Tamandua tetradactyla: one gene and its partners. The protein of the gene in region 3 interacts with the protein of the main gene of each other region in a pairwise test. Links are inferred from orthologs where the notes say so. Each region holds a gene or a part of one and is shown on either strand. Other genes may lie near its edges.

Evidence for each region.
Region 1: the proteins of KLHL2 (region 3) and BCAM interact in binary tests that used the Homo sapiens proteins (3 or more experiments, as listed by UniProt). The two-hybrid records come from large-scale screens. The link is inferred for Tamandua tetradactyla from reciprocal best matches to the Homo sapiens genes KLHL2 and BCAM.
Region 2: the proteins of KLHL2 (region 3) and TMA16 interact in binary tests that used the Homo sapiens proteins (3 or more experiments, as listed by UniProt). The two-hybrid records come from large-scale screens. The link is inferred for Tamandua tetradactyla from reciprocal best matches to the Homo sapiens genes KLHL2 and TMA16.

What each region holds. Positions count from the first base shown.
Region 1 is NC_135342.1:18,236,360-18,244,119, forward strand, and holds the start of BCAM (basal cell adhesion molecule), read right to left. Parts: upstream 3,020-7,760; 5' UTR 2,989-3,019; coding exon 2,904-2,988; intron 1,356-2,903; coding exon 1,234-1,355; intron 1-1,233. UniProt on the Homo sapiens protein: Transmembrane glycoprotein that functions as both a receptor and an adhesion molecule playing a crucial role in cell adhesion, motility, migration and invasion.
Region 2 is NC_135348.1:2,050,897-2,058,517, forward strand, and holds the start of TMA16 (translation machinery-associated protein 16), read right to left. Parts: upstream 3,020-7,621; 5' UTR 2,921-3,019; coding exon of another isoform or gene 2,918-2,920; intron 1-2,917. UniProt on the Homo sapiens protein: Involved in the biogenesis of the 60S ribosomal subunit in the nucleus.
Region 3 is NC_135352.1:47,417,218-47,424,874, forward strand, and holds the start of KLHL2 (kelch-like protein 2), read right to left. Parts: upstream 3,001-7,657; 5' UTR 2,903-3,000; coding exon 2,877-2,902; intron 1-2,876. UniProt on the Homo sapiens protein: Substrate-specific adapter of a BCR (BTB-CUL3-RBX1) E3 ubiquitin ligase complex that mediates the ubiquitination of target proteins, such as NPTXR, WNK1, WNK3 and WNK4, leading most often to their proteasomal degradation.

The DNA of each region.
Region 1 (7,760 bases), on a different chromosome or scaffold from region 3:
CATGGGATCAACAACACCTTCTGGACCAGAAAGGGGGAAAAATGTAATAAAATAAGGCATCAGTGGCCAAGAGAGATGAAATAACAGTCAAGAGGCAATTCTGGAGGCTATTCTCATGCAAGCTTCAGTTAGAATAGTGCTAATTGCCATGGTTTGCTAAACCCCAACCACTGACTTCGGTTAATTCTTATAGCTGGAACTGAGACTCTCTAAAGGTTTCATGTACTGGGCTTGCTTTCCTGGAACCTGTAATTCCTGGACGGTTCCTAGGTTAAATAAATCCTGAAACCCAGAGGGACCAGCCTCTCCAAGATTATCAGTTAATTACATATCTCTGTCATTTAGTGTCAACACCCCTTCTCCACATGAAAAAGGCAGAATGGGCACTGACCAAAGACGAAGGAGGAGGTACAACAGAGAGAATAGGATTTAACAAATGAGTATGGCTGCTGAATCACTGTATTAATATTCCTTCTGGCTTCCAGTGTTTTGTAGAAGCTAAAGGAAAAATCTGAGATGGTAGATTGGTAGCCCACGACCAACTCTGGGGTCTGTTCTGTAACTACTTGCTGAAGTGTGCTTTGAAAATTATTATTATTATTTTTTCCCTTCTTTGCTTTGTATATATGTTGTATTTTACAAAAAAAGAAGAAAATGCTAAAAAAAAAAAAAAGAAGGCAGGGAGGGCCTCAGCTCAGCATCCTGGCCTGAGCCTCCTCTATCTCCTGGGACTTGCTCCAGGGCCCATTCTTTCTGCTTCTGCATGGCTTATCTGTCTTCCCCTTATCTCTCTCTCTGGTCCCTCTGGTCCTTTCTACCTTCCCTCCCACCCCAGCTTCCCTCTCTTCTCTTTCTGCTCTCTCCCTCTTCCTCTTTCTTCTTCTATTCTGTTCCCATGCCTCTTTCTTTCTGTCTCGCCTCGTGCCTTGCCACTCATTTTACCTCCTTCTCATTCATGCTGCCCCATCTCTCTCCCTTTCTTGGTGTCTTTGGCTCTGAATGCTCTCTCCCTGTCTCAAGAGCCAGTACTCAGAAGGAGGACTTCGTTCTAAGTCTCACCCATGCTCAGACACCTGGAGACCTGGGAGAGACTCCTTCCCCCTGGCTGGACCCCAACTTCCCAATCTGGGAAATGGGGATGCAGCTTGGCAGTTAGCTAAGGGTTCTTCGGGTTCTGAGGAGGTCACATCTGCCAGTCCCACCGGGCCCAGACTGCCAACTGGCAGCACTCACCAGGAACCAATCCAGCATGAAAGGGCCGTGGGCCCCCAAGACGGTGCAGTCCAGGGTCACGGATTCCCCTCGCATCACCTCCATCAGGGGAGGCACAGAGATGTGCACCTCGGCCTGGGCATCTGCAGGGACAGTGGTCAGGCTGACACTCACTGCTACCAGGGAGAGCCCTCCAGACAGTGTCCCTCCTCCTGCGGCCCCAGCCCCCTCCTCCCTCAGACCCAGGATCCTGGGCCTCAACACCACCTTGTTTTGAGGTGACTCACCTTACCCCCTTCTCTGCTCTGTCAAGGAGACACAGGGGCCCCCAAGAGGCGGGTAGGGGGCTCTGGCGCCAGGCTGGGCAGGTCTGAGCCAGCCTGTCCCTCCCACATTCCTGAGACCTGCCCAGCCCTGTCCCCCCTCACGGCTCCCACACACCCAGCCCGCCTCAGCTCCAGACCTGACGCAGCCCACACCCCGGCCCCCCACTCCTGGGGAGGGAAATGGGGACTGAGAGGGACGGGCTGAGACAGAGGCCCAGAGACTGTGTGTGGGAAACCGACGGGGGTGCCAAAGTAGAGAAGAGGCTGGTACCCAGATGGAGAGACACGCAGAGGTAGAGACCCTATGGAGAGAGACATTTTCCCCACATGGTGGTGCCAAGCCCTGCCCAGGGTGCTGGAGGCAAACGGGTGAGCCAGCCGGGCCCGACCCTCGAGGGACATTTGGTCCAGTGGGAAAGGTGAGGGAAAGCACAATTTTACCCCAGGATACTGGTTAGAAGTGCCAGGCCCCTGTGCAGCCAAGGGGAGGCGCCCTCAGCTCAGCAAGGAAAGGGAGAGACAGCGAGGAACACCAAAGGGTCTGAGGCTCAGGGACACAGAGATGAGAGATGGAAGTGGAGAGAGGGGCTGGGTCTGAGGGAGGAGAGGGCTGCAGCCGGGACTCCTTAGTCCTGGGGGAGTTGGGGAAGTGGCCCTGGATTCCTGGGTCCAAGGATCCTGGCCGAATGAGGTGATCTTGTCAGGAAACCATGCTCTCTCATCCCCTGGGCTGGCATCCTGGCATCAGTTCTCAGTTCTCAAAACCTCTCTTCTCCTTCCCGCCCAGCCTGGCCCAACCCAGCCCCCAGGGACCCACTATTTGCCAGGCTTCTGCTGGGACCTGATTCCCAGGCACCCATCTCTGGCCCCCGCCTGTCCCTGCGGCGGGGGCGGGCGGCCAGGCTCTCTGGTCTCTCCGTGCTTCCATCCCCAGCCCCAGGGGCCTCCTCCGCCCCCCACCCCCACCCCACCACGCAGGTGTGCGGATCTGTCTGGGGCCCCAGGAAAGGGGCACTGTCAGTAGGAAGCTGCCACTGCCCAAACCAGGGCCCCAGCCCTGGCCCTGGGAGAGGCGGCTTAGAGTCCGGACTCTGAATCCAGTTTGGGGAAACCCCCAATGTCTTTGACTTGCTCAAATGTCTCTGAGGGATCACTGGCCCCCTCAAAACTTGAGAGCCTTTGGTAGTGGGGGTAGGGGGGATGGGGAAGAGCCCTGAGTTTGGGTTTTCTGTCACCTGGGGAAGAGGTGGCTGGAGTCCCGGCCTCCTGGGTCTGAGGGAGGAAAGGGCTGGGGGCCCATATTCCAGGGTCTGAGTGGGGAGAGACGCCCCCCAAGTCCTGTCCCGTTTTCAGCCCGAGCCCTACCTGGGCGCGCCCCGAGCAGGAGCGCGAGCAGCAGCAGCAGCCGCGGGGCTCCGCACGCCCCGGCCCGCGCGCCCGGGGGTTCCATGTTCGCGGCGGCGGCGACTGACCAGGGCTGCGGCTCGGCGCGCGGCGGGGCTGGGGAGAGAGGAGGCCCCGCCCCCCGGTGCCCCGCCCCGCCCCGCCCTCCCGGCCCCCCTCGTCCCGCCTCGTCCGGGCGCGGGGCCAGGACCTCCCACTGCCCAGAGCTGGACCTCCCAGCCCCGGCCGCCGCGGGGGGCTGCCTCCACCCCCGAGCCCCGGCTCTCGGCTTAGGCGGAGGTGGGGGGGGAAGGGGGGTCCTGACCGACCAGTCCAGCCAGTGCCCTGGGCTGGGACCTCACCCAGTGATGGCAATCCCCGACCCTCTCCACCCTCAGTCTGACCTGGGGCCTTGGGAACATGTTCCCACTATGGCCAGTGGCCTGGACTGGCCCCATCCATTTGAACCAGCAGATCCTAGTACAACCAGTGGGCTGCCCTGGGCTCTCCAGGTGTGAACAGTGGCCCCCAGACTGACCTACAGCCCATGGCAGCCTCCACAGAACCATCTCATCAGTTAGGCTTTCCCAGCCTAAATTAGACTTTCCCAGTTTGCCCTGTAACTCCCACCATGACCGGTGGCCTGGGATGGCTTTGCCCAGTATGTCCCATGAGGCCCTGTCGTGTGTGATCAAGGCTCTGGGCCTGTCTTCTCTGTGACCAGTGACCTGGAACTGACCAGGTCAACCTGTTATAGCTAATGGTTTTCCAATCCCTGTTCGGCCCAGTCCTCAGTGGAAATGGTGTTGGGGGAGGGCGCCGGAAGGCGGCGGGGTGCTCTTACTCTTGCTGTCCCCTGTGAGGCCCTTCCCCCCACCCCCGCCACCCCCCCTCTAGGGAATCCCAAGAATGCCACCCCCCTTTCTCCCTCTCTCTCTCCCCTTCCTACCTTCTCAGCCTTAGGGGGAGGGGAGGAGAATCAGGCTAGCAGGAGCAGGTGAGTGGGGGAGGGGAGGAGGCAAGGGCACCTGGGGAGGGGGAAAGAGCCTCACCATTGTTCATGGTGTGAATTACTCGATGTGTGTGTGGGGGGGGGGCACAAGTCAGGTCAGCCGGAGGATCACAGGTCAGACTGCCAGAAGCTCCTCACAAGTGGGTTGGACTGGGACAAAATCCCCCAGACTGTTGGCTGCAGGAGGAGGGGGAGTGTGGTGACATTGGTCATCTGGGAGAAACTAGCCTGGGGTGCAGGTCAGAATGGGGACCGCTGGTCATACTGGGAGAGGTTCTTAGGCCTCTGATCAGACTGTGAGTCATTGGAACCTGGGCTTGTCCCCATAAAACACAGAGTAGCCTGGTCAAGGCCACTTCACCTATTGGCCACACAGATGAACAACTGTTATCCTGGGAAAGGTGACCGTTCAGTATTAACTTCCTCCTCCAAGAAGCCCTACTTGATCCCTCTGGGCAACCCCAGACCTTTTGTCTCCCTCATCCCAGTCGTGTCCACTCCGTATCATCACTCCCTAAGGACGGAGCCGGGGGATGTTTTGGTCACGGCTGTGTCCCCAGCACCATCCAGCACAGGGCCAGGCACCTAGAAGGTGCGGGATGGTGGGGGGGGGGGCTCAAACTCAAGAGCACAGGAACTCAAGTGCAAACTCCACCCTGATTGGCTCATCACAAGACACACCACACAAACCACTCCAGGGCAAATTCAGGCGCACTCCCAGGCAGCCCCCTAGCGCTCTCTGACAAGCTCACATGCTCCAACCCCAAACATCCACTCCTAGCTCTGCCGTCCCAGGCTTGTGCATCTGCTCGTGGCTGGACACGGGTCAGCACCTTTTCTTCAGCATCGCCGTCCACCCTCCTCAAGAACCCAAGCAGCTGGGGTTCTAGAAGAGAGAAAGGGATGTGTGGAGGGAAGCCATAAACACCAGCTGCAGCCCCTGGCAGGCTTGCAGAAACGAGCCCCATGACATCATCTGCATTTGCTCCCTACAATTTATGCTCTACCAAACAGCCAAAGGGATCCCGTTAAAATATGAGTCAGATCACATCACTCTTATGCTCAGAAACCTCTTATGGCTCCCATTAGATTAAAAGCTAAAGCTCGCTCCATGTCTTACAAATTCCTTTGAAATTCAGCCTTACTTCATCTCCCACCCTCTCCCCCTTGTTCATTCACCTGATGCTGCACTTTGCAACCGTCCTGTTGCACAGATGTGCTGGGTATGTTCCAGCCTCAGGGCCGTTGCATTTGCTGCTTCCTCTGCTGGGACATTCCTCTCCTTCCCTCACTCACGTGCTTCAGATCCTTGCAGGAATTTTGTTTTCATCACCTGTGCCTAAAACAGTGCTTGGTGTAGGGAGGAGCTGAGTCAATATTTGTGGAATGAATGAATTAATTTGCCAGTTCCATCCTTGCTGTGTCATGTATCTATACACACGTATTTTAATTAGAAAGCCTTATCTTTTCTCTACTTTTATCCCATTATTTTACATACAACGGGTAACAGTTAACTTTCACTTTTTTTTTTAATGGGATTTTTTTTTAATTTTTTATTTTTTATTAACGGAAAGAAAGAAAAAAAAGAAAAAAAGAAATTAACACAACATTTAGAAATCATACTGTTCTACATATGCACTCAGTAATTCTTAACATCATCACATAGATGCATGATCATTGTTTCTTAGTACATTTGCATCGGTTTAGAGGAACTAGCAACACAACAGAAAAAGATATAAAATGTTAATATAGAGAAAAGAAATAAAAGTAGTAATAATAGTAAAAAACAACAACAAAAAAACCCTATAGCTCAGATGCAGCTTCATTCAGTGTTTTAACATGATTACTTTACAATTAGGTATTATTGTGCTGCCCATTTTTGAGTTTTTGTATCTAGTCCTGTTGCACAGTCTGTATCCCTTCCGCTCCAATTACCCATTATCTTACCCTGTTTCTAACTCCTGCTGGACTCTGTTACCAATGACATATTTCAAGTTTATTCTCAAATGTCCGTTCACATCAGTGGGACCATACAGTATTTGTCCTTTAGTTTTTGGCTGGACTCACTCAGCATAATATTCTCTAGGTCCATCCATGTTATTACATGCTTCATAAGTTTATCTTGTCTTACAGCTGCATAATATTCCATCATATGTATATACCACAGTTTATTTAGCCATTCTTCTGTTGATGGACATTTTGGCTGTTTCCATCTCTTTGCAATTGTAAATAACGCTGCTATAAACATTGGTGTGCAAATGTCCGTTTGTGTCTTTGCCCTTAAGTCCTTTGAGTAGATACCTAGCAATGGTATTGCTGGGTCGTATGGCAATTCTATATTCAGCTTTTTGAGGAACCGCCAAACTGCCTTCCACAGTGGTTGCACCATTTGACATTCCCACCAACGGTGGATAAGTGTGCCTCTTTCTCCACATCCTCTCCAGCACTTGTCATTTTCTGTTTTGTTGATAAACTTTCACTTTTTGATACCCACAACCGCATGGAGGAGTCCTGAAGATAGGTCTCACTGATATGAAATGTAAATTCACAGAGACAGAAAGAAGACCATGAGTTATCTGGGGGTGGGGGGTGGGGGAGTTAAAGTTTAATGGGTACAGAATTTCTTGGTTTGGGGTGCTAGAGAGAGTTTCATGGGTGGTGGTGATAGAGGCGCAATGTGCCAACTGCAATTAACCTCACTGAATTATATACTTGAAAGTGGCTCAGATGGCAAATGCCATGCCACATATATGTTTCTACATTAAACATTAGAAAAAAAAAAATTAGTTCCCAGCTTGCAGAATATAGGGATCATGTCACCTTTGGAAGGGGAGTGGATATCATTCCTCAATAATGCCAGATTTGGATGTTTAATGGAACCGTTGGAATTTTTTATTGTTTGGGGACAAGGGTATGAATGCATCTTGGTTGTACAATGACAGTTACTGGTGCAAGGAGAGTTTAGATAAGAACCTTTGGAGGGGGGATACATAAAGAGAAGATGAATGTTGCATACTGACGTTGACATGCAAAGGGGATGGACTATAATGAGTTCCTTCTGGGGCCATTTCCCAGGATTTGCAGCCTCTTCCCACATTCAGAGAAATCTCCACTGAATGAAAGCCTGATGCCCTTTTGTTGAAGCCAAGGACAGATATTTGCTTTCTTGCCTCACTTTGGAGGTAAGGTGATCTAAGCTTGGCAAATCCTGCCATACTTTTGAATCAGGCGCTCATAATGCAAAAGAATCAGGGAGCTTTTCTTTATACCGGGAGGTTATTCTCTGAAGAGGTGATGTCAGAATAAGAGATTTGAATTCATTTCAGCCACGGCAGCTGGGGCAGTTTGCATTTTTCAGGGATGGCTCCACCAATACCTCTCATCCCACAGGCTCCTCAACACTCTTTCTATGGAGAGGTGGGTTCTGTGCCCCTCTCCTCTTCACTCTGCAGCTTTGTGACTTGCGTGGAAACAACAGAAGGTGGCAAAATTGACAGTGCACGACTTCCAGGATCGGGTCAGAAGAGGCCGTGCATGATGTTCCACAGGGACCGAGTCTCTGGGGCGAAGGACAAGTATTGGTAACGGATGGTGGCGATGGTACCTCAACATCATGAATGAGATTGCCACCACCGAGCTGTATACCCGGAAGTGGCTCAGATGGCCAATATTATGCTGCATATATGTTATCGCAATAAAATTTTTTCTAAAAATGCAAAAAGAAGACCATGAAGCTTTTGCCTCTTTCCCTGGAATCCTGTGCTTGAGCACTGCAGCCACCATTTGGGCAGTGTGACCGTCTGAGGCCACCATGTCATAGGGGAAAC
Region 2 (7,621 bases), on a different chromosome or scaffold from region 3:
AATTGGAAAAGACATAGAAAACATACCCCACTAAATCCTCTTAATGAACACAAATCTGTCAACACCCTGATTTTATTTTAGCAAGGCCCAATTTCAGACATTTGACATTCAGAAATGTTAAGATAATAAATATATATTACTTTAAGGAATTAAATCTGTGGCAACAGCAGGAAACTAATATACTCTTCAGGAATATTATCTTTTACTCAATTTTTTAAAAGACCCTGCACATATTAACATTACTCTTAAAAAGGTTGGTACACTAGGTAGTTTCATTAATGTTTTTCCTTGTATTTACTACTTTTTGTCAGGTTTTAGATGGTAGCCAACTGAAAAATCAGAGAAACTGAGTCCGAGTTTAAAATTTTATTGTCCCAGGGCGAGGTCCCGGGTCTGGGTACTCAGGGTGCGGGCCGGGGAAGTCGCGACCCCGCCCAGGAGCGGCAGGGTTAGATATAGGCTAGCTAGGGGGGTGCTGACAATGCCTACGGGGCCTCCTGTGGTAGGTTAGGAGTTTCACTCGCTTTAGGGCCATGGGCATAGCTATGGGCCTTGGCAGGGGGGCATAACTACAGCCGTGTGCAGTGGGCATAGCTATGGCCCATGGCCAGGGGGCGTGTGCAGTGGGTATAGCCACAGGCCATGTGCAGTGGGTATAGTCACGGGCCGTGTGTAGGGGGGGTCTCTGTCAGGGCAGGTCCTAATTGGCTGAGTTTGAACAGCTGTATGCCCAGATGTTCACGGTTTTAGTTCGGGTGGGGGCCTTCCAGCCAAAGGCTACGAGACCAGGCCTTACACCTTTCAAGTGCAAATTTTTACTAATATGTAATCTCTTTAAACTCATTCGTTGTTTTAGTTCACATTTATAGATGTGAGCCCAAGAGAACACAATCCCTGACATTAAAGAATATGTAGGCAGTCCGATGCAGATAATGCTCAGTGATGTGGAAGGATAGGTCTAAGGAGGATGCCAGCCCGCTTTCTAATGGTTTATAATCCAGCTAAGGAGAAAAAAAGCACAACACTTAGACTCTACAACAAGAGGCTTAAGTAAAAAGGTGTACAGCCATGAGTACACACCAACTTAAAAGCACTACAAAAAAAATGTTAAACGCAAAATAAAGAAACGGTCAGTGGGATGGATTATTTTAAAAAGATTTTAAAAGATTTCACATAGTTGTGATATTAAGATAAATATATATATATATGAACTTGCGAAATTCCAGGAAAGATTTAAAGAGAAAATAAATGAACAAAGTAACAAAAGCAAACAAGTACAAGCTGTGCCCTGTTACTACTTACTACTATTACTAAGGTTCAGAACAACAAGTAACACTAAGTGCCAGACAAGGGACTAGACACTTCACATTTAACTTCCACAACAATTCTAAGAAGCAGGTACTATCCTTATCTCAATTTAACAGATGGGGCAACTGAGAATTAGGTGAAGTAATTTCTCCAAAATCACAGTTTAGCAAACACAGGTGCCAAACAGTCCTCTGGGACTCCACAGCTCACATTCTGAGCCATACTGTAGTAAGTTTAGAGTAGCTGAGACAAAATAAAAACCGCCAGCGCCAAATCAGAGGGAAGATGTGGAAGAAGCACTGGTGATGCTATACCGGAATAACGACAGGGCAAGAAATGTGCCAATAAGAAGAGGTTTTTAAACCATTCTTTTCAGTCTTATGCTAAAGCACTGTATTACTAACAAGCAGCCTGAAAAAAAGTGAAGTTCTGATAATCTAGGACTACAGCTAAATGCCAACTGACCCCCCACAGACAATCCCATGTAACTATTCCAACGTTCTACTCTGAAAATGAAAAGGTTGAGAGAGAAAACTGTATTTTAAAGGGGTGTAAATCACACAAGCATGGTGATAAAACAAACACACTGACTTTACAAAAGTGTGTATAATCTTAAAGCAAAAAAAGCAGACCGTAGATAAATACAAAAGACAATGACCGGCATGCAATGAAAAGGGAAGAAAAGAAAGAGAAAAAGTATAAAAAACATGGTCAAAATACAACTTTCCACCAAACTTTAAACCTTGTTTTTATTTTCTTGTTGTGCTGACCGAAAATTGATAAGAAAACTGGATACTTGCAAAACATGTTCCTATACAAGAAGTGCAATTCTAAGGAACAAGTGAAAAAAAGCAAAAAATCGATGTACTGTTTTAGGATACAAATTTGTGGTAGACCTACAAGGAAAACCCAGAGAATTGTAAACCCAAGATTCTGATGCTGTGCACCTCTCAGGGGCTACCGAAGGTCACAAAATCAAGGAGGGACACGCAAACGTTCTCAAAAGCTACGTTATGTTCTACTTCTTTAAAACGATCATGACGAAAGCTCCTACAATAGCTCCTCTTACAACTTAAATATGTTTTCTAAATCTCGGTTGCGTCTACTCAGTTTTTAATAAAACCAGACCCGTTTCAGAGCACGGCGGGGACGGGAGCTCGGCGGCCGGACCCAGTGAGGCCGGGGGGTGGCGGGGGCGAGGAGGCGGCGCCCGGCCTGCACGCGCCGCGGTGAAGGGCTCGCTCTCCAGCCTCCCCCAACATCGCAGAGCGACCGCGGTGGGTACGAGCAGGCCGAGCGCGGGGTCCCCCGAGGGAGGAGAGTCAGGAGGCGGCCTAGGAGGCTCAGCACGGAGCCAGCACGTCACGGTTCCGTCGCGGAGCTTTGCGGTGCGGCCCGAGGGCCTGGCCTCACCTCCGGGACGCCCGGCCCGGCCCGGCCGAAGCCGCCGCCAGGCCCCCAAAGGCATTCGCATCTCCCCTCACCCACGCGGGGCCTCTTCCGAGCCAGCCGACGCCAGCTTCCCGGAACCGCGCCCTCCATCCCTACCTGCCCGACAGAGGCCTTCCCGGGAGCCGGGCGGGCTCGAGGGGGCAGAAAGGGCACCCACCATGGTGACGTCCCCGCGTCCTGGTGGGCCTCCGCGCTCCAGCGGGGGCGGCCGCAGCGACTACAGCGGGTACTTCTCCGGGAGAAGCTCCGGTCCAAAGACACGTGCGGCCCACCGGAAAAGGCGTGCGGCCCACCGGAAAAGGAGGGGCTGGTGCGCGGCTCTGAAATGTCCCGGGAAACCGAGACCTTGTCTTTTTCTTCCGCATCACGTCCTGGCGCGCCGAGCCGCAGTGTCGGGGCGCGGGGCGGGAGGGGGCGTGGCCGACGCTGAGCGCGAGGCCGAACTTTGGGCGGCCTCTCCAGCTGCTCGCGCCGGGCCGGGAAGGAGCTGTGGCGTCCGCGGGGGTCCGCGGCTCCACAGAAGAGCCCGAAGAGGGGCGGCCTGAGACGAGCTCCCGCGCCGCGGTGCCGGCGTTGTGCCTGCGGGCAGCCCCGTGCGGCCGGTGACCCCCAGCTCCGCCGTCCTGCCCCGGGAGGCCGGTGACCCTCAACTCCGCCGTCCTGCCCCGGGCGGCCGGTGACCCTCAGCTCCGCCGTCCTGCCCCGTGCGGCCGGTGACCCCCAGCTCCGCCGTCCTGCCCCGGGCGGCCGGTGACCCTCAGCTCCGCCGTCCTGCCGCGGGCGGCCGGTGACCCTCAGCTCGGCCGTCCTGCCCCGTGCGGCCGGTGACCCCCAGCTCCGCCGTCCTGCCCCGGGCGGCCGGTGACCCCCAGCTCCGCCGTCCTGCCCCGGGCGGCCGGTGACCCCCAGCTCCGCCGTCCTGCCCCGGGCGGCCGGTGACCCCCAGCTCCGCCGTCCTGCCCCGGGCGGCCGGTGACCCCCAGCTCCGCCGTCCTGCCGCGGGCGGCCGGTGACCCTCAGCTCGGCCGTCCTGCCCCGGGCGGCCGGTGACCCCCAGCTCCGCCGTCCTGCCCCGGGCGGCCGGTGACCCCCAGCTCCGCCGTCCTGCCCCGGGCGGCCGGTGACCCCCAGCTCCGCCGTCCTGCCCCGGGCGGCCGGTGACCCCCAGCTCCGCCGTCCTGCCCCGGGCGGCCGGTGACCCCCAGCTCCGCCGTCCTGCCCCGGGCTGCCGGTGACCCCCAGCTCCGCCGTCCTGCCCCGGGCGGCCGGTGACCCCCAGCTCCGCCGTCCTGCCCCGGGCGGCCGGTGACCCCCAGCTCCGCCGTCCTGCCCCGGTCCCCGCGGCCCGGGCGGCCCCGCCTCGGTCTTGCTCTCCTCCCCCGTGAAGCCGCCTGTCAATCCCGATTTTCTGGCTTCTTCTCACCGCGGGACGCGCCTTTGCGCTCGCACGGGGCAGAGGCCTTAGGGCAGCGGTCGGAGCCTCGGGGGCGCTGCGTCCGCCGAGCCCTGCTCTGGTTCGGCTCGCGTGCTGGCGGGCCCGGCGGAAGAGGAGCGGCCTGGGCGCGCCGCGTGGACCTGCGAAGGAGCGCCGCGCCCTGTGGCCGGCGTATTTGCGCCCCAGCTCCGGAGCCAGGGACCCGTCGCTTCCCGGGAAGCCACCTTTCGCTCTCCCGACCCATCTCTCGGGTCTGGCCCGGTGCACATCAGCCTCCTGAGTTGTTCTGCAGCTCCAGGAGCATTGCATTTCTCATTATAGCTGTTCCTAATTGCTCTACTCATCGCAAATCTCTACCTGCACCTACCCTGTTCCTAAATTTAAGACTGCCAATGTCAACAAGTTATATATCCTGAAACACTTATATCCTGAAACAGCAATAATATGAAAGATACTTGAGCATCATTTAATATGTACATGTACCACGGTGATAAGCAGAGTTAATGTCCCCACTCCTTCAATTCAACCGCTGTCCCCAAGTGACCCCGTGCGTTTGTTCTGTATCCTTTTAACGATGTTTTCCTATGCTTCAACATGTGCACACTGTTATACATGTGTGTTGTATGTTAAGTATTGATTAACATTGGATATTGACAAAATCATACATGTGATTTTGAGGGTGACCACTAAAAATAGAAAACAGTACAAAAAAGTATAGAGTTATTAAAAAAAAAAGAAATACTCCAGTTAATCCAAAGCAAAGGAAAAAAGAAACATAGGATAGTAGTTGTGGTAGGTTGACTTATGTACCACAGGAAAAAAACATGTTCTTAATCCTTTCCTGTGGGTGATCACACATTGGAAACAGAACTTTTTTTATTGACTCTTTTTTTAAAATGTTTTTATTGAGAAAAACCTTCACACATTCTTTCTGTGCATGGTGCACAATCAGTGGCTCACAATATCGTCACATAGTTTTGTATTCATCACCATGATCACTTTTTAGAACATGTGCGTCACTACAGAAAAAGAAAAAAAAAAATAACTCACACATACCAAACACCTTACCCCACCCTCCCACTTACTACTAGTGTTTCCATCTACGTAATATTTTACCCCTTTTCCTCTGTTATTTGTTTATTTATTTTTAATCGTATATTTCACTCATCTGTCCATATCCTGAATATAAGGAGCATCAGACACAAAGTTAGCACAATCATACAGTCACATTGTAAACGTTATAGCTTTATATAATCGTCTTCAAGATTCTAGGCTACTGGAAAACAGCTCAACAGTTTCAAGTACTTCCCTCTAGCCACGCCAATACACCATAAACTAAAAAGGGATATCCATAAGAATAACCTCCAGCATAACCTCAGGACTCTGAAATCTCTCGGCCTCTGAAACTTTACATTGCTTCATTTCTCTCTTCCTCCTTTTGGTCAAGAAGGCTTTCTCAGACTCTTCATGCCTGTCCTGGCTTAATCCGGGAGTTCTGTCCCAGGTTGCCAGGGAAATTTACACCCTTGGGAATCATGTCCCAATTAGAAGGGAGGGCAGTGAGTTCATGTGCTGAGTTGGCTTAGCGAGAGAGGCCACATCTGAGCAACAAAAAGGTTCTCTTGGGGTGACTCCTAGGCATAATTTTAAGTAGACTTACCCTGTCCTTTACAGGAATAAGTTTCATGGGAGAGGAACCCAAGCTCGAGGGCTTGGCCTATTGCTTTGGTTGTCCCCACTGCTTGCAAAAGTATTAGAAATACTCCAACTGGGGAAGTTGAATATTTCCTCCCTCATCCCTGGTCTCCCAAGGGGACTTTGCAAATATGCCTTTATTCACTGCTCTGATTCTCTGGGATTTATCAGGGCATCAAACTAACCTGGACAAACCAAGAAAATCTCATGCCCTATTTGAAATTCCATGTACTTATGCTGTTCAACTAAACTGACTTAAAAGTTAAATTAGGAAATGCACTAACCAAAAGTAAACTTTGTACAGAATAAACAAATCAACCTTTAGTCTCACCCAAAATTGAGGCTTTAAAATATGGATGATATCATCCTTTACCCAGTCTTCTAGTATACCTTAGTCCTATCCATATCAGCTTCATTCGTATCAATAGAACCTTTTGAAGATGTTATTTTTAGCTAAATTGTGGCCCAAGTGAGTAAGATTGGCTTTAATCCTTTTCCAGGAGACTTCATGGAAAGAGAGGCACATTGAGTTGCAGAAACTGAAAAATCAAAAGAACTTGGAAGAGAAAGAAAAGAAAACCTTACCTTATGGTGGGAAAGCCAAGGAGCCCAAGAATGGCCAGACAGCCAGATTCTACCAGTCCTTGGAGCAAGCAGGCCTTCTAGCCTCTGAAACTGCGAGCCAGTAAATTCCTGTTTTTAGGCCAACTCATTGTGTGGCATTTGCCATGACAGAAAAATAAGGCATTAATATAAATTGGTAGATTTATACAAATATATATAAATATAATATATATTTTTACAAACATATAAATAATATATATTTATATAAATATATTTATATAAATATGTTTATATTTGTATAAATATAAAATGGTAGATTTGATCCCAAATAAAATGATGATAATAGGTTAAGTGCCCCAATTTAAAAACAAATATGTCAGACTGGATTTTTAAAAAATCCAATGGTAATCATTAAGAGACACACATCTGAACTATAAAGAAACTGAAAAATTGAACATAAAAAGATGGAACCAGGTAGGGTAAGCAAATACCCAAAGAATGCTGATATCAATATATTAATCTTATACAAAACAGACAAGTCAAAAAGTATTACTGGAGATAGAAAAAGTTATTGCTTCATAATGCTAAAAGTTTCCACTTTAAATTTATATATATAATCAAAATTCTAAAATAAAGAAAAACTGATCGTAATTCAAGAAGTAGAAGAGCTTTTTTCAGTAATTGAAAGACAAGCAGACAAAACATCATCAATGATTTAGAAGTCTTGACCAAAACAGAATTTGGCAGCTCTACATAGAGCTCTATATATTCCAGTCTTGGAATAATACCTATATTTTCAAACATATATGGAATAGTTATAAATATTGATAATGTATTTGGCCAGACAGCAATTCTCACAAATTTGAAATGACTGAAATCCTACAGAATATGTTCTATGACCACAATGCAATTAAATTAACAACAATCGAAAACAAGGAGATAGTAAACAGTACCCATATACTTAGAATTTATGAATTACACTTGTAAATGGGTTAAAGAAAAACCATAATTGAAATAAAAAAATATTTACAACCAAACAATAACCAAAAGAATATATGTCCAAATTTATGTGATGCATATAAAATAGTAAATAGCACCGTTAAGTATAAACGTTAGTGCCTTAGATCTTAATATTAGAAATAGAAAGTAGGCTGAAAGTTAATGAGC
Region 3 (7,657 bases):
TGACCGCCCCCAGGCCAGGGGCTCTGTTACTGTATCAGGAAGAGGGCTCTGTTTTCAGTTCTCTGAGGTCGCCCCAAACAGTCAATACATTTGGGACTTGACACAATCCTATAGAGGAGCATCTGAAAGAAATTTTCGTTCTATGCCCTTCAAAGAGCCTTATTCTGCTCCAGTTTTCTGTTCTTAACTTCACAGATCAGTGTAATCCAAAATCCAGGGACCTCCGACCTAACCATCTTCCAACACTCAAACCCTTAGAACACGGAGAACAGGATTTGCCTGCCTGTGTCCAGATGGCGCCAGTGGCCTCCCCGGTGACGTGGAATCACCAACTGGAATACACACATATATATACACGTATAGTTGTGTCTGAGGTATGTTCGCTTAATTTCGTGAAGAAAAAGCAAAAGCAGAGACTGTGGAGATTACACCTACTTGTGAAAAAGGAGCCACTGAGGCAGCGGGGCCCAGAAGCCTGCGCGTGAGGCGGTGGACGCCGTGCTCCCTGGACGCACCCACTGGGCCCCACGTTCAGTCACCGCCAGGGCGAAGGGCCCGGGGCCGGCTGGGCAGCCGCACTCCCCCCACGGGGCTCCCTTCACTGCCCGAGTCTCCGCTCCTCGGGCCGGTCCTCAGCCTGCCACCTTTCAGGTGCGGCCACAGGCAGAGACCACGGGACGAGGCACCGCCTGTCCTCCAGGGTGAAAGCACACGCCGAGCCCAGAGCCCGGGCACAGCCAGGCAAGCATGGAGCGGGGATGGGCAGCAGGGTGGAGGGAGCACAGTGAAGAATACCTGATTTCCCAGAGTCCGCCCCGAAAGGGTGAGGACGGTGACCCCCGAGGTGTGTGACAGCGGGCCAAGGGACAAAGTGAGCCTGAGAACGGCTGGACACGCTAGGGGAGGAGCCGGGTACAAGGCAGCGCGCAGCACCCGGCAACACGGACATTCGCCACGGGCAGAAGGGGGAACAGCAGACAGACGCTGGTCCGAGAGGAGGCCCCCTGCTCTGGCCACACCGTTCAGGCTGCTCTCAGTCCACCTGCAGCATCTTGCTTGGTCTTAAGGCTCAGGGTAAATCTAAGGTGCCCAGCTCCACAGGGAGACTCTTGGAGCCTCTCTCCAAAGACCCGGATGAATTTCTCAAATGGGCAACCACACTCCAGCACAAAAGGAGAAACAAGTCAACGGGCCGGGAAACAGACCCGCCGTGGGGTGAGAAGGAAAACAAAACAATGCCTGACCTGCAGAAAGGCAAGTAACGGCATAATGAGCTCTGGAATTAAGAGTGAACCCTGGAGAGAAAAATGAAAACAAACCTCATCTATGATTATAATTAAATGGACAGAAACAACAAGGAAAGTCTTGGCAACCTGAGCCACCCATGATTGGAAGGAGTTCTAACAGCTGTCTCGTCCCTGCTGGCACCCCAGGCTTCCCCAGATGTCAGCCTCTCGTTGTTCCGCACAATTATGACCCACCCTCCATGCAGTTATCAGGAGCTGTACATGCACGCTTCAAGTGAAAGTACCTCGATTTAAATCACATTTGTGTCTCTACTCCCTCCTTCCATATCCTTTCATCTGCCTTCCAAGACCACCTTGTGCCTTCCTTTAGTTCCCTCTGCTCCCAAAGTGAAAAGGGTCCACAGAGGACTGGCGGAAGGGGCAGATTCCCTCCAGGTAGCACCCCTACACGTCTGCAGTCCCAGGTGCCGCTGAGCCTGGCCCGCGCGCCCTTGACCTCTCAGTACCCATCTCCCTGGGCCAAGGAGCCTCCAGGACGGCCCACAGCACTGCTCTCAAAGCTACAGTGGTCACAGCCACCGAGCCCCTGCTTGGCAGGGCACAGGGGTCAGTTCAAGGGTCCCCCTCTGCTCCTCTGACCCCACATGACCTGGTCCACTCAAATTAAACATTCTGAAAGATGTTTCTAGAAACTGTACTTCCAGAATCCTCTCGACATTCCTAAATGGACTCAATATCAAAAAACTATTCAGCCCAAACTAAATATCTATATTTTGGCTGGAATTTTGCCGAATCAGCACAAGCAGCTACTGCAGGAGAACTGCCCTGGAGGGAGAGGGGCCACATTTAAACGAAAAATGATAAGGCCAGGAGAATAAGCTCTCAAGAGGTACACAGTTCTCCAGAAGGAAATGAAAAGTCAGATTCAAAGATCCCTTGTTTCTTCCTAAAGGTTAAACTCAGAAAAGCAAATCGAAATCGAAATTTTCAAAACTCTCAGGACACTCTACTTTCACCAATTTTTTAAAAATCTTGTACTGAACATGTAATACCTTCCACGTACATTTTCAGCTATTATTATTTCTGGAAAGTAATTTTGTTGCAGATAATCTGGAATGCATTTTGGTACCAAGAAAAGAGACACCTGTGCCGACTGGCCGCTACGCTCCTGATGTGCCCAGTACCAGGGAAACAGAAGATGCCCTCAGATTTCCGGACAAAACGTTCTGCAGTGCCAGGTAAAAGAGGTCACATGCCCAGACAGCAGCGGCTCATTCAGAGTGATGCAAAAGCTCCTCACTTATTAATTCTGTTAGAAATTTAGGGAAGCAAGAAACCTAAGGTCAACTGATTGAGACGCCCTCCCGGTAGCTCCCATTTTCCTTTCTCAGTGGCCTGCCGGGCGTCGCCTCTCCAGCCCTCGGAAGGGTCGGCCGGCCGCATCTCAGCAGCGCGGGCACTTGCGGGAGGTCCCCGCGCACGGCCCCGCCGAGCCTCTGCGTCCGGAGTGGGCAGACCCTTCCCTGGGAGTCTGGGCAGCGTCTCCAAGTCTCCGCCTGGTAGGCTAGTTTCCGCCCGCGCCACCCCGGCCCGCGCCCCCGCGGCCACCCGAGGCGGCAGCCCACTCACGCGGGGGGCAGCGGCGGCGCCTCCATCGTGGCTTCTCCCGGGCTTCAGATCGCGGGCACCGGCCGCCGCCAGCACCATTCCAGCCGCGGACGCCGGCACCGCCTGCCCGCCGAGTCGCGCGCCATGCGCCCCGCGAAGGGCGCCACGTCGCTCAGCGCGCGCCCCCACGCGCGGTGGCCTCCGCGGCCAGGGCCTGGGTAGTGCGTTCCGTCCCTCCGCGCCACTCCCGACACCCGAGTGCTCGGCTTCCGCGGCTGCCCAGTGCGCGGCTCCCGAGCGCGCGGCTCCCGAGTGCGGGGCGGCGGCGGGGCGCGCGCGGGCTCGGCCACTTCCGGGTTCAGCCCCCGCCTCCGCCGCCGCGGTGACGGGGCGGGAGGCGGCCTCGGCGGCCCAAGGCCCTCCCCCGCGCCCAGGGCCCTCCCCGCCCAAGGCCCTCCCCCGCGCCAGGGCCCACCCCGCCCAAGGCCCTCCCCCGCGCCAGGGCCCACCCCGCCCAAGGCCCTCCCCCGCGCTCAAGGCCCTCCCCGGCTCCCAGGGCCCTCCCCGGCGCCCAGGTCTCTCCCGACTGCTTCCGGACTCCGCAAGCGCAAGTCGGGAGCCAGGCGGGTCGCGATGCAGGGGCCTCTGCGGGGTGGCGTGGTGGGAGATAAGAGGGTGTCTCTGTGCAAGGAAGGTGCAGCCCCGCCCAGTGATGGTTCAGGGGTCCCCACTACCCCTCTTCACAGGTGCTCACATCACCCCTTTTTGACGCGAGCTATGCCAGGGAGCAGGGAAGGGTGGGCACAACAAACGGTGGAACTGAGGCAGAAAGGAATGTCCCGGGCCCCGGCAAGAAGCCGGGCCTTGCCCTCGGCTGTCCATCGCTGGATGAGCGAACTGAGCCCCTCCTAGGCGAGGTTTTGTGTACACCGCCCACAAGAATGGCTGATGGCTCCGATAAGGGTGTAAGGAAGAGGAGTCAAAGCTGATTCCAGGGGTTTGGGTCTGCACCCTTGGAAGAATGCAGTTGCCACATTTGCTGAGATTGGAGAGATTGAGAAGAAACAAATTGGGGAAAGGGGTCGTCGTGGGCCCTCTGAATTAGACTCGATAATTTTGAGATGTCTATTTAATATCCATGTGAAGGTAAGGCGTTGGCAATTAACATACATTTCAGAAAGTTATGGATCTGCAGGGTACAGCATACAAAACTAGTGAAGTCAACTGATGATGCAGCTCGGGAAAAGAAGGGACCAAGAACTGAGCCATGGGCGTGCCAACACTTAGAAAGCATGAGGAGGAGGATTGAGCAGAGGATCCAGAGAAGGAGCAGCGAGTGAGGTAGGCGGAGGACAGGAGAAGCAGCTTGAGAGCCAGGGAATGCTGCAGGCCTCGGCAGTGCCTTCGGGGTGCCCCAGCATGAGCTCTCTGTATCCAGTGTTATTGACCCGCAATGAGTAAGGCCTACAGGTTGAGTCATTTCTCTAGTAGTAGGAATGTCTTTGTTCACACCCATAGCACTTTATCTGGAGTCTCCAATTTAATTCTTACAATAACTTTATATAAAGATGCTCTGATAGCCACCCCATGCACCCATAACTCAGACAAAAATATAACATTTTGTCAGTCTTGTTTTATCTCTATCCCCCTCCTTTTTTCTGGAGTATTTAAAAGCCAATATCAGAAAGGCTACCCTTTTAATGATCAGATCAAGTTGCTCACAGCTGTCCAGTTGCCTCTCCTCTCACTCAGTCACAGCAATGCCCTCAGGGCGCCCAGCAGTCTGCTTCAGCAAGAGGTCCAGAGCCAGCAGGAGACAGGCAGGAGGGGGCCCCTGAGGCCCGCCCCAGAGGCCTCCTAACTAAAGCAGCCAGTGAGATGTAGCAGCAGCACCTGTAAGTGTCTGTTGCTGTTCCTTTTCCTGTACATTTGCATGGCCACCTGTGACCCCTGCCTCAGGACACTCGTCAGGAGGTGCACAGTAACTTAGGTGCGCAAAGCCTTGTCCTGATTTCCTTCTTCTCACCAGCTGCATGGACAGGATGTATGATCAGCCGTTTCAGGAAAGAAACCACTTCGTCTATTGCTGTTGAATCCTCCCATCCAAAATAATGTGGTATATGCAAGTAATTACTAAAAAGGAAGACATGTCTATCTCTAGTATACCCACAACTCCAAACAACTGCTCCCTGTACATTCTCCTCTAGATTAGCCTTGTCTGTCAATCTCTGCTTCTTAAAAAGTACTGCTCATGTTGCTTGCTCAGTGTCTCCCAAATACTCTCTTTTTAATGGGTCCTATATACACACAAAAAACTATGTGCAGGCTTTGCAAGTGGGTTGGAGGAGAGTTTTTTTATTTTGCTTTTTTAACCACTTCCAGTCCAACCTTGATAGAGTTCAGTCCACAAATTCTAGCATCCTAGTCAAATGGCACCAAGTAGATTAAAAGCCAGTGTGTGCTCCTGACCCTAACCCTAACCCCAAACCTGACCCTGATCCTGACCCTGATCCTGACCCTGACCCTGGCTCTGACCCTAACCCTAACCCTGAACTTCATTCTCCACAGACGAGACACGTGAACACGCCACACAGGCTGAAAGCTAGATTAGACCCAGAGTCAATCAATCTTATCCATCTTAAAGCTGTTTGAAAAATTCATTAATCCACACTGCGTCTTTGTTGTTTTCTGAAAAGACAGTGATGGCACTTGGCTGTCGGACAGAGGAAGGCTTACTTAAGGTCAGCAGCACTAGAGGAGGCCAAAGTCCCCATTTCGTCTTCATGTGGTTCATTTCCCAGAGCTCCTGCTCAGCCAGAAGTGGCCTCACCCAGCCTGTCTCACTAGGCCCAAGAGAAAAACAAAAAATGCTTGACAGGATGAATACAAATCCATCATTACGGTGGGGGAAAGCCTTCTAAATTTTCTTTACTAAATACTTACTTTCTATGCCAGTTTCGCCATCTTCTCAAATAGGGGACACAAAGAATCCAAGAAAATACACAGGGCCCCCGCCTGGAAAGCACAGGGGCCGGCCCCTCAGCTCAGAAGCCCACCCCCACTTGGTGGCTCTTTTGAGGAATCCTCCACCCCCACACAGGGATGGGGTTTTCCACAGTCCATCCATTTCTCATGCCATTGACCCAGAAGTATGTTTCAACCTCTTAGACGTATCAGTGACCATAATCGAAGTCAAACACAAGTGATGAGAATATAGCACTTGCAGAGAAGAAGAAACCACACAGAGGGCAAGTCCATGTCAACAGTGGTGGAAAAAATTACTCGGATTGAGTGGAAATCAAATGTTACAGTAGACTGATGACATCCGTCGGTCACGTGAGGCACTTAGGCACACACGCTTCACGTGACAGGCATCTGGCAGCCAAGGAGTGCTTCTGTAAAAAAATCCAAAAATGATGTAAAACTGTAAGATCCTATTTCTGTAATTCCTCTCAGGGGAAAGAAGGAAGCACGAAAAGCATCGCTCAATCAAAAACATGGAGCAAGCAAGGTGGAGACCTGCTAAGATGTCTTGTTTTCTACACTATTTGCCCAAAATGTATCACTTGAGTTGGTCTTCTATCTTTGAATTTGGCTTTTTGCTCCTTTTGATTTGGAAGCAGCTTAATGTATGTAATATATTGTGAAGCTTCAAAATGTTCTTGTGATATTCTTCTGTTTATCAGATGGGTTTGTCACCAGGTTTGTGTGTCGAGTGGGGTGATAGCAGTCTTATGCTCCAGATCAACCAGAAATCTTGCACTGAAGAAGTCTGCCCTGTTTACACATGCTTGCTTCATTTATAGTCTTTAAGATACAAACCTTACTTCCAACACAGCACATTTGCCCATTTTCCTCTACCAGAGTTTCCTGGAGAAATAAAAGCAATCTTCTTGCTGCAAAGTTTAATTGGAAATCTTCTGTCATTGGTACAGAAACTATCCAAAAATAGGTTTTGCATTAATGTATAGCAAGTAAGCAGTAGCTCTGTATTATTTTTAAAAAGGAAATTTACTTATCTATTTTTATTTGTATATATTTAGATTGTACCTATTTATGTAGTCTGGTGATGTAATAATCTCATTATAGAATTATCTGAGACTAAACATCTTTCTATACAGTCAGCAGTGCTGCAGGGAAGTAAGAGCGAGTAAAAATTCTTGATCAATTGCATGAAGCAATATCAGATCGCTGTCCCGCCTCTGGCTCTGCACAGGCCACCTCTGCCCGTCACCACCTTTGTCCATGCGCGGCTGCTATTAGCACGACCCTAAGAAGAATGTGGAGTTCGTCTGTGTTAACCATTCTCATTTTTTACGTTCTGTTTCCTTTCCCCTGTTAGCCTCAATACACTTCTCACTCCTGACCCTGCCATCTGCACGTCTGCCTCATGCTCTCTCTTCCTAATTCAACTTAGAATTTATGTTTCCATCAGTTAACATATTGGCTACAGAACTACACTTTAATATACATGGATTTTCGACATGAGGTAGCTTCACATCGCCATTACTTTAACAAAATGATACCTTCAGGCCCTATTCCCTATTCTTCCTCTTAGAATGCAGTCTAATGCCTTCTGCATTAGTTTCATCACAATTGTTTTTGATAAAAAAAACTGATGTCAAAAGGTGTCTTTTTCATTAAGAAAGATAATACTATGTCACTGTGAAAGCAGTTCTTTACTTTAATCCCACCGAATCTTCCCGTTTTAAGTTTCCCCCATCTGGCATTAATTTCACGCACCATCCTCTGAGTAGGAGATGAAAATATTATTAAATTCTAGAGCTTTTGTAACCAAACCT